2 linked regions of the Saccharomyces cerevisiae S288C genome follow. Changing the gene in region 2 together with the main gene of any one other region gives a genetic interaction. Each region holds a gene or a part of one and is shown on either strand. Other genes may lie near its edges.

Region 1 (5,971 bases), on a different chromosome or scaffold from region 2:
GCCTTATTGGATCAATATGAATATATTTTTAAGCAATTTGGGGTAAGATTGTGTGTTACACAAAAGGCGCTAAAGAAAGTTGCTCAATTTGCTCTCAAGGAAGGAACTGGCGCCAGAGGGTTGAGAGGGATAATGGAAAGACTTCTGCTAAACGTTAATTATGATTGCCCGGGTTCTAACATAGCATACGTTTTAATCGACGAAGCTACTGTCGACTCGTTACAGGAAACAGAGCACTCTTTGGCTTCCCAAGTGGACGTAAAATACTATTCTGGTGATGAAAAGGACAGTTTAATTCGTGACGTTTCTGAAGAAGATAAAAAATTAGGAGTTATGCTAGAAAAAGAGTTGGGTCATTCTGCTAACATTCATACCCCAACAATTCCCAAGAGAAGCTTAACATAAAAAAAAATGAATGGTATAGAATATATAAATATAGATGTAATAAATGTAGTAAATGAACAAATAATCTTCCTACAAAGTACTATGCCATGGGAAGTAAAAAAAATTAATAAATATTGGCTAAAGTGTTTCAAATTGGTTCTACGATACTGGGAGACTACTCCTTATCATAATGCTTTTTGTCCAGTAGTAAAAATTGAAGTAATTCTTGAACAATTTAAAAAAAAATTGGAACGGCGGCACAATTATTTGGTATATGGCAGCTTTGGCTTTTGCGCCACCACATACAAAGTTCTAAAGCAGCCAGCGTTGTCATCGATTTTTCCTATGTGTTCTTCCACATATCTTTTGAAAAGAGTGGTGGGGTCGGTATCCTTTGGAGGACAACTACTATCTGGTAGTTGCCTCCTTAACATGTAGTCCCACATATCTAAAGAATTAAATTCATTCAAAAAGCCCATATCTGTTTTGAAGTCACCAGTTTTCAAACTTAGGACCGAGGACTTGATGCCTGTAAACCCTACATCCTTGAATGTCCTCGTTAAGTGTTTTGTAGGATGGATATGTAAGCCTTTATTTATCGCATCAATAGCCATAGCATCAAATGTCTTGTCCCGTTCTTTTGTAGTCAAAAACTCTTCTGATGAATTATTTGCTTTTTCGGCATCGGCGTTGCCAAGAATTCCAGTATAGTATGTGTTTGAAATCCTTAAATCTGGAACAATTGCCAGCGCGTACCCGCCAGGAATTATTGATCTGTATATTTCCCTAAGTAGAGCTTTCCATTTATAATAACTTAAACTTGTCCAGACCCACGGGCATATTACAGCAGGTATAGTGTCTGATGCAAACGGCAGTCTTAATTTTAAATATTCTTTACCATAAATAGCTGCGCTTTTTGCCCTGTCAAGTCCTTCATTTGGAAAGGAGTTATCCGAATTAGAGGATATTGGTGATGACAAAGGTGGTTCATCTTCAGGCTGAAGTTGTGCATTAGAGGACCTCTTCACTTCCTTTGGCAAAATAAATTGGGTCGGTAAATCGATTTCTTTGTAGTTGTTCAAAGTCCGGCAAAAAAAATTCTCCAACCATTCATTTTGATGTGCTTGGTTGGCTGATTTGACATGGGGAGCTTTCTCTGTCCGAGGGGGACTAGAGATATGTGACTGTGGTTGAATTTTTGGAGAAGAAGAAGAAGATATGCTAGGTGAAACTGAAGGGCTTGTAGTATGTGAAGTTGATGCAAGTTGAGAATGCTTTCTCTTGAAAAAGTTGACGAAACCAGATTTTTTAGTAGCCTTGGTAGGGCTCTTCTTCCTTTTGACAGCATCTGCTCCCGAGGACGGCAATGATAAAGATCTACTTGAAGCGAATTGGTCGTTTAGAGGGTCTTCCTCAACTCCCTGATTGAAGTTGTTTCTAGAAATACGTTCTTTTGCATCATCTGTAAAGAACTTTCTATTCATGCAATCATACATATACTCTGAAGCATTGGAAGAATTCAATTCGATAACTTCTTGTTCGTCAGAAACTATTTTCGCTCTTGAACCCTTTCGTGGCAAATAATTTTGTAAGTTTGTTAAATACTCAGGAGCAATTTCACTAGCATTCTTATTCTGAGCGTCATTGTCACTGCTGTCAATCATCCAGGGAGATAAATCTAATGCGAAATCTGCGATGTTCAAGCTTGGTTCATCATACGCCAGCTGCCAACCGCCCAGGGTTTTATGCAGCGGTCTTATTAATAAGATGTCAATTTCGTCTAATGGATCCGATATTACTGGCCTTGGAGAGTTTGCTTCTATATCTAACTGCTGAATATATAATGTAGGGTCACTGATCTTGTTGCTGGTGGTGCTGATTGTTGGATTAGAATGTTGTCTTGTGGTTGGTTTTCTTTTTATTAGTTCCTCCACTACTTCAGATGAAAAGAAGAATGAATTTGATTGCAGTAAAAATTTTTGAGATTGAGCCAACCATAATTGAATCAAGGATTCAATTTCAGAATAATCTTTTAACGGGTCAAACGATGGAAAGCATTTAACCTCAGTCTCTATATTTATGATGTTTTCAATGTTAAATGGATAACATTCAAATGCATATTTCCTAGATTCCAAATATTTTGTTAGGAAATCAATGTACGACCGTAATCTTTTCTTGGCAAATATTAAAGAGTCTTCTGGCGAGGAGTCCATGTTAAAAGATAGAAACAAGTCCATTCTATTAAAGAGCTCATTATGATTCGGGTCGTACATTATTTGTTTGAATTCACCGTCTATGCAAATGTTGATTAAATTATGATTTCCTGAAACGGTTTTGATTAGAAGAGAAGAATCTGATGCCGGTAAAGTGTTCCAGTCCCATTTTTTTCTAGAATGGAGTTTCTTGACAACGTTCGAAGTTGCACCGTGTAGACCACCACCTCCCCGGCCATTGCCGACCATATTGGATACAATGAATCGCGGTGCAGAAGGGTCTGGTGAGTAATTAGCTTTCACTTCGGAAGTCGGAGTTCCGCTTCTATGACTATGTTTATTATTACTTGTATGATGATGATGTAGACCTATTTTGGAAAGCTGAGCGGACTTCAGTTTGGATACTGAGGATGAGGCAGCGGAGTCAGATGATCGTCTTGACGAGTTTGAGAACAAGTCATCCGCCAGTCTAAAGTTTGGCAAATGTAAGGGCGAATCAAAGGACGAGAGCTTATCTGAATGATGGCTTACTTGTGGTGAGTGTGATTCTACTGAACTACTTGATTGCGTGGTTCCATTTCTACTCTCTTTTTCTTGTTTCCCCTTTTCTTTGTCAGCATTTTTATGTTCAGTAATCATTGAACTTGTATGGTTATCATGTGCTTTTAAGTTGGAAATTTTGTTACTGGTTATACTGGTTAACCCCCTATCATTCTTACTATCAATGTTTTTTGCTTCCTTATTGGAGCCCATTGTATTTACTTGAGCAGTTTATAAAAAGTGGATAAATGAGGGGAAAAATAATAAAAAAGAAAATTGAACAATCCTTCAATATGTGTCCTTTAATAATTACTACTACTTTACACACTTCTCCAGTAGCTGCTGCTTGTTTCAGGTGATGTGAACAACGTGTTTCAGCGTTCTTGGTAAGTGTTGGTATGGATCCCTTCTGATGTATTTTCGGCGGCCGCACTAAACTGCGAAAATGGTAATTTAATAAAGGGCTTATAAAGAGGAAAATAATGCAGAGAAACGGTGAGCCCAGACAAGAATGATGATAATGTGTTTTCAACCGATCATTAATGTCACGAGAAACAAATTTCAATGGAACTAAGAGGAAGAGGTCGGATGTTGCCGAGAAAGTAGCACAACGGTGGAAGAGCGTCAGGTATAGTGCTGAAATGGAGAATATGGCTCCGGTCAACAGTAACAATGATAGCGACGACTGCGTCATAGTCAGTGAATCGAAAATCATTGATTTGACTAATCAGGAACAAGATTTGAGTGAGAGAATAGAAACAAACGATACGGCAAAAGGTGCCGTTTTTAAACTAATGAAATCGGACTTCTATGAAAGAGAGGATTTTATGGGAGAAGTAGAGGATATGATTACATTGAAAGATATCTTTGGCACTGAGACACTAAAAAGAAGCATACTCTTCAGTTTCCAATACGAACTTGATTTCTTGTTGAGACAATTCCACCAGAACGTAGAGAACATAACCATCGTCGGCCAAAAGGGTACTATTATGCCTATCGAAGCCCGTGCTATGGACGCGACACTGGCAGTAATATTAAAAAAGGTCAAACTTATTGAAATAACGATGCCCCCATTCGCTTCCCACCATACGAAGCTGATCATAAACTTTTACGATAATGGCGAATGCAAAATATTCTTGCCATCTAACAATTTTACGTCAATGGAGACTAACCTGCCTCAACAGGTGTGTTGGTGCAGTCCCCTTTTGAAAATAGGTAAAGAAGGGCTACCAGTACCGTTTAAGAGAAGCTTGATAGAATACCTCAATTCGTACCACCTGAAAGACATTGACGAATTGATTACAAAAAGCGTAGAGGAAGTTAACTTTGCTCCTTTGAGCGAATTAGAATTTGTATATTCTACGCCCTCCAAATTTCAGTCGTCGGGTTTACTGTCGTTTTACAATAAACTAGAAAAACTTTCTGCTGGCACAAGTGCTAGTGATACTGCAAAACATTATCTATGTCAAACTTCATCCATAGGGACATCTCTATCAAGAGCGCGAGACGAAAACTTATGGACACATCTAATGATTCCTCTGTTTACCGGAATCATGTCCCCTCCAGCAAAGGACACCGCTGGGAGGAAGAAAGCAGAAATACTGCCAACGAATTCATTGATTAATGAATATTCGCAGAGAAAAATCAAGCCGTACATTATTTTCCCCACCGAACAAGAGTTTGTCACCAGTCCCTTAAAGTGGTCCAGTTCCGGGTGGTTTCATTTTCAATATCTTCAGAAAAAGAGCTACTACGAAATGCTGCGAAACAAGTTCAAAGTATTTTACAAGCAAGACCCTGCTATGGTTACTAGAAGACGAGGGACGACGCCCGCGCACTCTAAGTTTTACATGCATTGTGCAACAAACTCCGCAGGGCCCTGTGATGCATCGCAGGTATTTAAAGAACTAGAATGGTGCCTTTATACTTCGGCAAACCTCAGCCAAACAGCATGGGGCACCGTTTCAAGAAAACCACGCAATTATGAAGCAGGAGTGCTTTACCATAGTCGCAGGTTAGCAAATACCAGGAAGGTCACGTGCCGTACTTTTACACGTGACCGTAGAGGCTGCGCGGGTAATCCCACCCATGTGGCCGTGCCATTCACGCTGCCAGTCATACCATACGACTTAGCTGAGGACGAGTGCTTTTGCCTTGCTCGTCATGAGAACGACTAACAAGTAAGAGCGCGATGTTGCTGTCCACTTAGGCATCACTATATGGGGCCAGGAATGGCAAATTTACTTGATAAACTTCAGGCGATTGGATTTTGGTGCTCAGAATATTTTTTTCTCGGGCCGAAAGCGTCTTTAACTATTCCGAGCTAAAGCTTCCGAGTCCTTTATTCGGTCTTTTTTTATTTTTCAAGATTAACTGTATATAAATAGAGATGGTATGATTAAAAGCTCTTTTTAATAGATGCTCCTTCTTGAAATTTACTCCCACTGTGCTGCAAGAGGTTAGACGCTTCACGCACATTTTTGCTACAATGACAAGTGCCGCTACTGTTACTGCTTCGTTCAACGATACTTTTAGCGTATCCGATAATGTCGCCGTTATTGTTCCTGAAACGGACACTCAGGTGACCTACAGGGATCTATCCCACATGGTGGGTCACTTCCAGACCATGTTCACAAATCCTAATTCTCCATTGTACGGAGCTGTTTTCAGACAAGATACAGTGGCGATATCCATGCGTAATGGGCTGGAATTTATCGTCGCTTTCCTCGGTGCTACTATGGACGCTAAAATTGGCGCGCCCTTGAATCCCAATTATAAGGAAAAGGAGTTCAATTTTTATTTGAATGACCTGAAATCTAAGGCGATTTGCGTCC
Region 2 (6,919 bases):
CACAAGGCAGAAACGTGGAAACATACACACACGCACACACCCAACTTTCGAGTGGGTTTCATCCAGGAAGAACTTTTAAATAGAGGCCAGAGAGCGGCTTACATCAGACATCTTTTCTCGAACTTACTTCATCTTCTCAATATCGAGAGGGCCCATTGGCGGGTAATAATACGCATAAGAGTGATCTAATCCAAGTAGTACCTCCTTAGCGCTTTTTTTATTATCACTATAGGTCATTTGGCTATTAGAGCGAACAGCAGAATTTGTCCTTGGTTTTCAGAGTTTGAAAATGCTATTTGGTATTAAACTGGCTAACGACGTATATCCTCCCTGGAAGGATTCATATATCGACTATGAAAGGTTGAAGAAATTACTAAAGGAAAGCGTCATACATGATGGCCGTAGTTCCGTGGATAGTTGGTCCGAAAGGAATGAATCTGATTTTGTGGAGGCCTTGGATAAAGAACTAGAAAAGGTTTACACATTTCAAATTTCCAAATATAATGCTGTCTTGCGAAAATTAGATGATTTAGAGGAAAACACTAAATCAGCTGAAAAAATCCAAAAAATAAATTCTGAGCAGTTCAAAAACACCTTAGAAGAATGTCTAGATGAGGCTCAAAGATTGGATAACTTTGACAGGTTAAATTTTACTGGGTTTATCAAGATTGTGAAGAAACACGATAAATTACATCCAAACTATCCTTCTGTAAAGTCTCTTTTACAAGTCAGATTGAAAGAACTTCCTTTCAACAATTCAGAAGAGTATTCTCCCTTGTTGTATAGGATCTCATATCTGTACGAGTTCTTGAGATCAAATTATGATCATCCAAATACGGTGTCTAAATCATTAGCAAGTACTTCTAAATTATCACATTTTTCTAACCTTGAAGACGCAAGTTTTAAAAGCTACAAGTTTTGGGTTCATGATGATAATATAATGGAGGTTAAGGCTAGAATCTTAAGGCATCTACCTGCTTTGGTTTATGCGTCGGTTCCAAATGAAAATGACGATTTCGTCGATAATCTAGAATCAGATGTCCGCGTACAACCTGAAGCGCGCTTGAATATTGGTTCAAAGAGTAACAGCCTTTCTAGTGATGGTAATAGCAACCAAGATGTTGAAATTGGAAAATCAAAGAGCGTTATTTTCCCACAGTCATATGATCCAACAATCACTACATTATATTTCGACAACGATTTTTTTGATTTGTACAATAACAGATTGTTGAAAATCAGCGGTGCACCTACGCTGAGATTAAGATGGATCGGTAAACTGCTAGACAAACCTGACATATTTTTGGAAAAGAGAACTTTTACAGAAAATACCGAAACTGGTAATTCAAGTTTTGAAGAAATCAGATTGCAAATGAAAGCCAAATTCATCAACAATTTTATTTTTAAAAATGATCCCAGTTACAAAAACTATTTAATTAATCAACTAAGAGAAAGGGGTACTCAAAAGGAGGAACTGGAAAAACTTTCTAGAGACTTTGATAACATCCAAAACTTTATTGTTGAGGAGAAGTTGCAGCCAGTTTTGAGAGCTACCTATAATAGAACTGCTTTCCAAATTCCTGGAGATCAAAGTATTAGAGTCACTATCGATTCCAATATCATGTACATTAGAGAGGATTCTTTGGACAAAAATAGGCCCATTAGGAACCCTGAGAATTGGCACCGTGACGATATTGATTCCAATATTCCCAACCCATTGAGGTTTTTAAGAGCAGGAGAATATTCGAAGTTCCCCTATTCTGTAATGGAGATTAAGGTTATAAACCAAGATAATTCTCAAATGCCTAATTATGAGTGGATTAAAGATTTAACTAATTCACATTTAGTTAACGAAGTTCCAAAATTTTCTTTGTACTTGCAAGGTGTGGCTTCACTGTTTGGTGAAGACGATAAATATGTCAACATTTTGCCATTCTGGTTGCCCGATTTAGAAACCGACATCAGAAAGAACCCTCAGGAGGCTTACGAAGAAGAGAAGAAAACTTTACAAAAACAAAAGAGCATTCATGATAAACTTGATAATATGAGAAGGTTATCCAAAATCTCTGTACCAGATGGAAAGACCACTGAAAGACAAGGGCAAAAAGATCAGAATACTCGCCACGTTATTGCAGATTTAGAAGATCACGAATCATCAGATGAAGAAGGTACTGCATTGCCCAAGAAATCTGCAGTCAAAAAAGGGAAGAAATTCAAAACGAATGCAGCTTTCTTGAAAATTCTTGCTGGAAAAAATATTTCAGAAAATGGAAATGATCCATACTCCGACGATACAGACAGTGCCTCTTCTTTCCAATTACCTCCGGGAGTTAAAAAACCAGTTCACCTTTTGAAAAATGCCGGTCCTGTCAAAGTTGAGGCAAAAGTTTGGCTCGCCAATGAACGTACATTCAATAGATGGTTAAGTGTAACCACATTGCTGAGTGTATTGACCTTTTCTATCTATAATTCAGTGCAAAAAGCCGAATTTCCACAACTAGCTGATCTGTTGGCCTATGTATATTTCTTTTTGACTTTGTTTTGCGGAGTATGGGCTTATAGAACCTACTTAAAAAGATTAACTCTTATTAAAGGTAGAAGTGGTAAGCATTTGGATGCACCTGTGGGACCTATTTTGGTTGCAGTTGTATTAATCGTTACCTTGGTTGTTAACTTTAGTGTGGCTTTTAAAGAGGCCGCTAGGAGGGAAAGAGGATTAGTAAACGTTTCCTCCCAGCCTTCGTTACCCCGTACACTAAAACCAATTCAAGATTTTATCTTCAATTTGGTTGGGGAATAAGAACATGTATATTTTTTATATACACATATATTACACAAGTACCAGTTACTATCATAATTAATTAATTGTTCTCTATTTATACATATTTGCTCTTCCGTATTAAATCATATTAAACAGCTTTCAGCAGGTGCCGGCGCCGCCTCTTTTTATTTTCAAAATTCAAAATGCACATAATGAGAAGATGTGTGTGATAGTTAAACCCAGATCAAAAAATAGCTGAAACGTTCGTTTCAGCTCCGCAAATCTATATTGCTAATTAAAATTATTCATCAATATCTACTTCTGTTTCAGTTTTTTTCCTCTTCTTCCTCTGACCTTTGGATATCATAATAATGTCAGTTGAAGTAGATAAGCACCGGAACACACTACAGTATCATAAAAAGAACCCTTACTCCCCTTTATTCTCCCCAATTTCTACATATAGGTGTTATCCTCGGGTATTGAACAATCCCTCCGAGTCTAGAAGATCAGCCAGTTTTAGTGGTATTTATAAAAAAAGAACCAATACGTCAAGATTCAATTATTTAAACGACCGCCGTGTTTTATCAATGGAAGAATCAATGAAAGATGGGTCAGATAGAGCTAGTAAAGCTGGTTTTATAGGAGGCATAAGAGAAACTCTTTGGAACTCAGGTAAGTACTTATGGCACACATTTGTGAAAAACGAACCTCGCAATTTTGATGGTTCTGAAGTAGAAGCAAGTGGTAACAGCGACGTTGAGAGCAGAAGTTCTGGAAGTAGGAGCAGTGACGTACCATATGGTCTACGTGAAAATTATTCCTCGGATACAAGAAAACACAAATTCGATACGTCGACGTGGGCCTTACCAAATAAAAGGAGAAGAATCGAAAGTGAAGGTGTGGGGACACCTTCAACCTCACCAATCAGCTCTTTGGCTTCTCAAAAAAGCAATTGTGATAGTGACAATAGCATAACTTTTTCGAGAGATCCTTTTGGTTGGAATAAGTGGAAAACAAGTGCTATTGGTTCTAACTCAGAAAATAACACTTCTGATCAGAAAAATAGCTACGACAGGCGACAGTATGGGACAGCCTTTATTAGAAAGAAAAAAGTTGCAAAACAGAACATTAACAATACTAAACTGGTGTCGAGAGCACAATCTGAGGAAGTAACATATTTACGACAAATATTCAACGGAGAATATAAAGTTCCAAAAATATTAAAAGAAGAAAGAGAAAGACAGTTAAAATTAATGGATATGGATAAGGAAAAAGACACTGGCTTAAAAAAGTCTATAATCGACTTAACTGAAAAGATCAAAACAATTTTAATTGAGAACAACAAGAACAGACTACAGACAAGAAATGAAAATGATGATGATTTAGTATTTGTTAAAGAAAAAAAGATATCTTCTTTGGAAAGGAAACATAAGGATTACTTAAATCAAAAGTTGAAGTTTGATAGATCTATATTAGAGTTTGAGAAAGACTTCAAAAGATATAACGAAATTTTAAATGAAAGAAAGAAGATTCAAGAAGATCTTAAAAAAAAGAAAGAACAATTGGCCAAGAAGAAACTTGTTCCTGAATTAAATGAAAAAGACGATGACCAAGTACAAAAAGCTTTGGCATCTAGAGAAAATACTCAGTTAATGAATAGAGATAATATAGAGATAACAGTACGTGATTTTAAGACCTTGGCACCACGAAGATGGCTAAATGACACTATCATTGAGTTTTTTATGAAATACATTGAAAAATCTACCCCTAATACAGTGGCGTTTAATTCATTTTTCTATACCAATTTATCAGAAAGGGGTTATCAAGGCGTCCGGAGGTGGATGAAGAGAAAGAAGACACAAATTGATAAACTTGATAAAATCTTTACACCAATAAATTTGAACCAATCCCACTGGGCGTTGGGCATAATTGATTTAAAAAAGAAAACTATAGGTTACGTAGATTCATTATCGAATGGTCCAAATGCTATGAGTTTCGCTATACTGACTGACTTGCAAAAATATGTTATGGAGGAAAGTAAGCATACAATAGGAGAAGACTTTGATTTGATTCATTTAGATTGTCCGCAGCAACCAAATGGCTACGACTGTGGAATATATGTTTGTATGAATACTCTCTATGGAAGTGCAGATGCGCCATTGGATTTTGATTATAAAGATGCGATTAGGATGAGAAGATTTATTGCCCATTTGATTTTAACCGACGCTTTAAAATAGTTATTCTTTTATAATATACAATTATTATACATAAGTAGAAATATTCAGATCATTGGATATGGAATAAAGTTCAATAAACCACTTGAAAATAAATCATAAGAATAGCATAAGCACCAGCTCAATTTAGATGTCTGTACAAAAAGTAATATATTTTAGAGATGAGCAGGCAGAACCACACATTAGTGACGATTGTCTTCGACCTTATGTGGAATCTTAAGCTTTAACATATAAGTAAAAATTTTTATTTTCAACAAAAGATTAGAACGAAATGAAATTCCTTAATTGAACCTTCTCTTGGATATCAATCTATTGGCAATCATTCCTAGAGAATATATTATTGAGTGAAAACTGTAGATACGTGCTAAGCGGTAAAGCCCTTATGAACATCGTCACACTATCTCTATATTGAGCCTCCGTAAATTTCGAATCATTTGAAATTCATTTTTCCTGGTAGGAAGATACTTGATAGTGGAGGATAAGTAAAGTAAATTGTGGTTATCATTTATTTGGTGGTAAAGTACCTTTTTTATGTTTTTTTTGAAGATGGAAATTCAGGCATTTTAAAAAAATAGAAAGCTCGAAATATCTCAAAAAACATAAAAATAGAGGAAGAATCCGCTGAATATACCATCTTTACAAACTACTTAACTATTTATTTTTAAATATAAAATTTTTAGTACCATCATCGGAGGATTGTTGCGATCGTATTTTTTTCTCCATTTTTTTCCTATATGCTATGCCACATCGACTACATAGCTCAACATTTCCATTAGGTCCACTTCTCCACTGAGAAGTCCAGGTGTCACCACAAGTGGCGCACTCTTTTGGTTGACCGTTGGGGAGTATAGTTTGTTTCTTCCTACTTTTAGGTCTATATCCTGCTAAAGATTTCTTTCCATTGGATGATATTGGTAGTGATGAAAAAGATGGGGCTGGTAGAATAGAGGGGTTATGCAAAGGCCCACCAAGACGACTTTCTTCCTTCAATTTTGGACTCAGCGCACTATTTAAGCTTTTGATCTTCTGTTCAAGAATATCTGCTCTTTTTAAATCTGGCGTGACACCAGATTTCGGGATACTGGCTACTGAACAGCAATAATTGGGATTAGCGGCAATGAACAGAACCATTTGTACAAAACGATCGAAGTGGAATTTCGTTCTACGACCAGAGCTACTAGCGCCGCTTGTTCCCTGCTCTTTGTTATATAACATAATATGATTTAAAAGTTCTATCACTCAGCACTACAACGCAGTATTTTTATTCTAGATGACCAGTATAGCAAATATTGTTACCCTTGAGATATTGGTAATTTAACCAAATCTCAAGTCATAAATGCCTCCCTTTTAAGTTTACATAGGCAGTGGACAGATTGGTACATCATATTAAAGGAAATAATGAACGCTAAAAAGAATGCCTTTTACTGACACATTCACTTTTAATACGAAAACGGATTTTGTGGTATATGACGTTGAGCACTGCGTGGTTTTCTGTGAATCCGCCGTGCCTAAAATGGACCCTTAATTATTTAACAATAGACCGGCCCGAATAATGTTAACATGAAGGGAAAAGTGCACATAACTGCAAACTACTTTGGTAGGTTGATTATCAGAGCTAAGCCATCCTACAGGTAATGATTTCCAAATTTTTTCTTAAGTAAAAAAGTTCAGAAAATAGAAGAAATATAAAATTTAAAAGGAATTACTGTTTACGAGACACATCGTTCATTCTTGGATAAATATACAAATCTACTTAAGAAAAAGCTTTCCTTATTTGTTGTTTCCTACTTTGTACCATTTGGTTTATTATATATCGTTGTGGAAAAGAAACTTGGTCTCTTGAATCTTAGTCGCAAAAGAAAATTTTTACCCACATAGGTAATGGAAAAGAGACAAAATTATTTCTGGACCTTATTCAAGAGGATGA

What was found. A genetic interaction does not mean that the proteins touch.
Region 1: of ULP1 (region 2) and TDP1, a mutation in one rescues a mutant of the other (synthetic rescue), as found in Saccharomyces cerevisiae (one study listed by BioGRID).

Annotation. Positions count from the first base shown.
Region 1 is NC_001134.8:668,006-673,976, reverse strand, and holds TDP1 (tyrosyl-DNA phosphodiesterase 1), read left to right. Parts: upstream 1-3,679; coding exon 3,680-5,314; downstream 5,315-5,971. Other genes in the region: MCX1 (Mcx1p), read left to right, coding at 1-405; YBR225W (uncharacterized protein), read right to left, coding at 648-3,350; PCS60 (Pcs60p), read left to right, coding at 5,626-5,971. UniProt on the Saccharomyces cerevisiae protein: DNA repair enzyme that can remove a variety of covalent adducts from DNA through hydrolysis of a 3'-phosphodiester bond, giving rise to DNA with a free 3' phosphate.
Region 2 is NC_001148.4:510,389-517,307, reverse strand, and holds ULP1 (SUMO protease ULP1), read left to right. Parts: upstream 1-3,129; coding exon 3,130-4,995; downstream 4,996-6,919. Other genes in the region: VTC3 (vacuolar transporter chaperone), read left to right, coding at 290-2,797; ECM23 (Ecm23p), read right to left, coding at 5,644-6,207. UniProt on the Saccharomyces cerevisiae protein: Protease that catalyzes two essential functions in the SUMO pathway: processing of full-length SMT3 to its mature form and deconjugation of SMT3 from targeted proteins. Has an essential role in the G2/M phase of the cell cycle.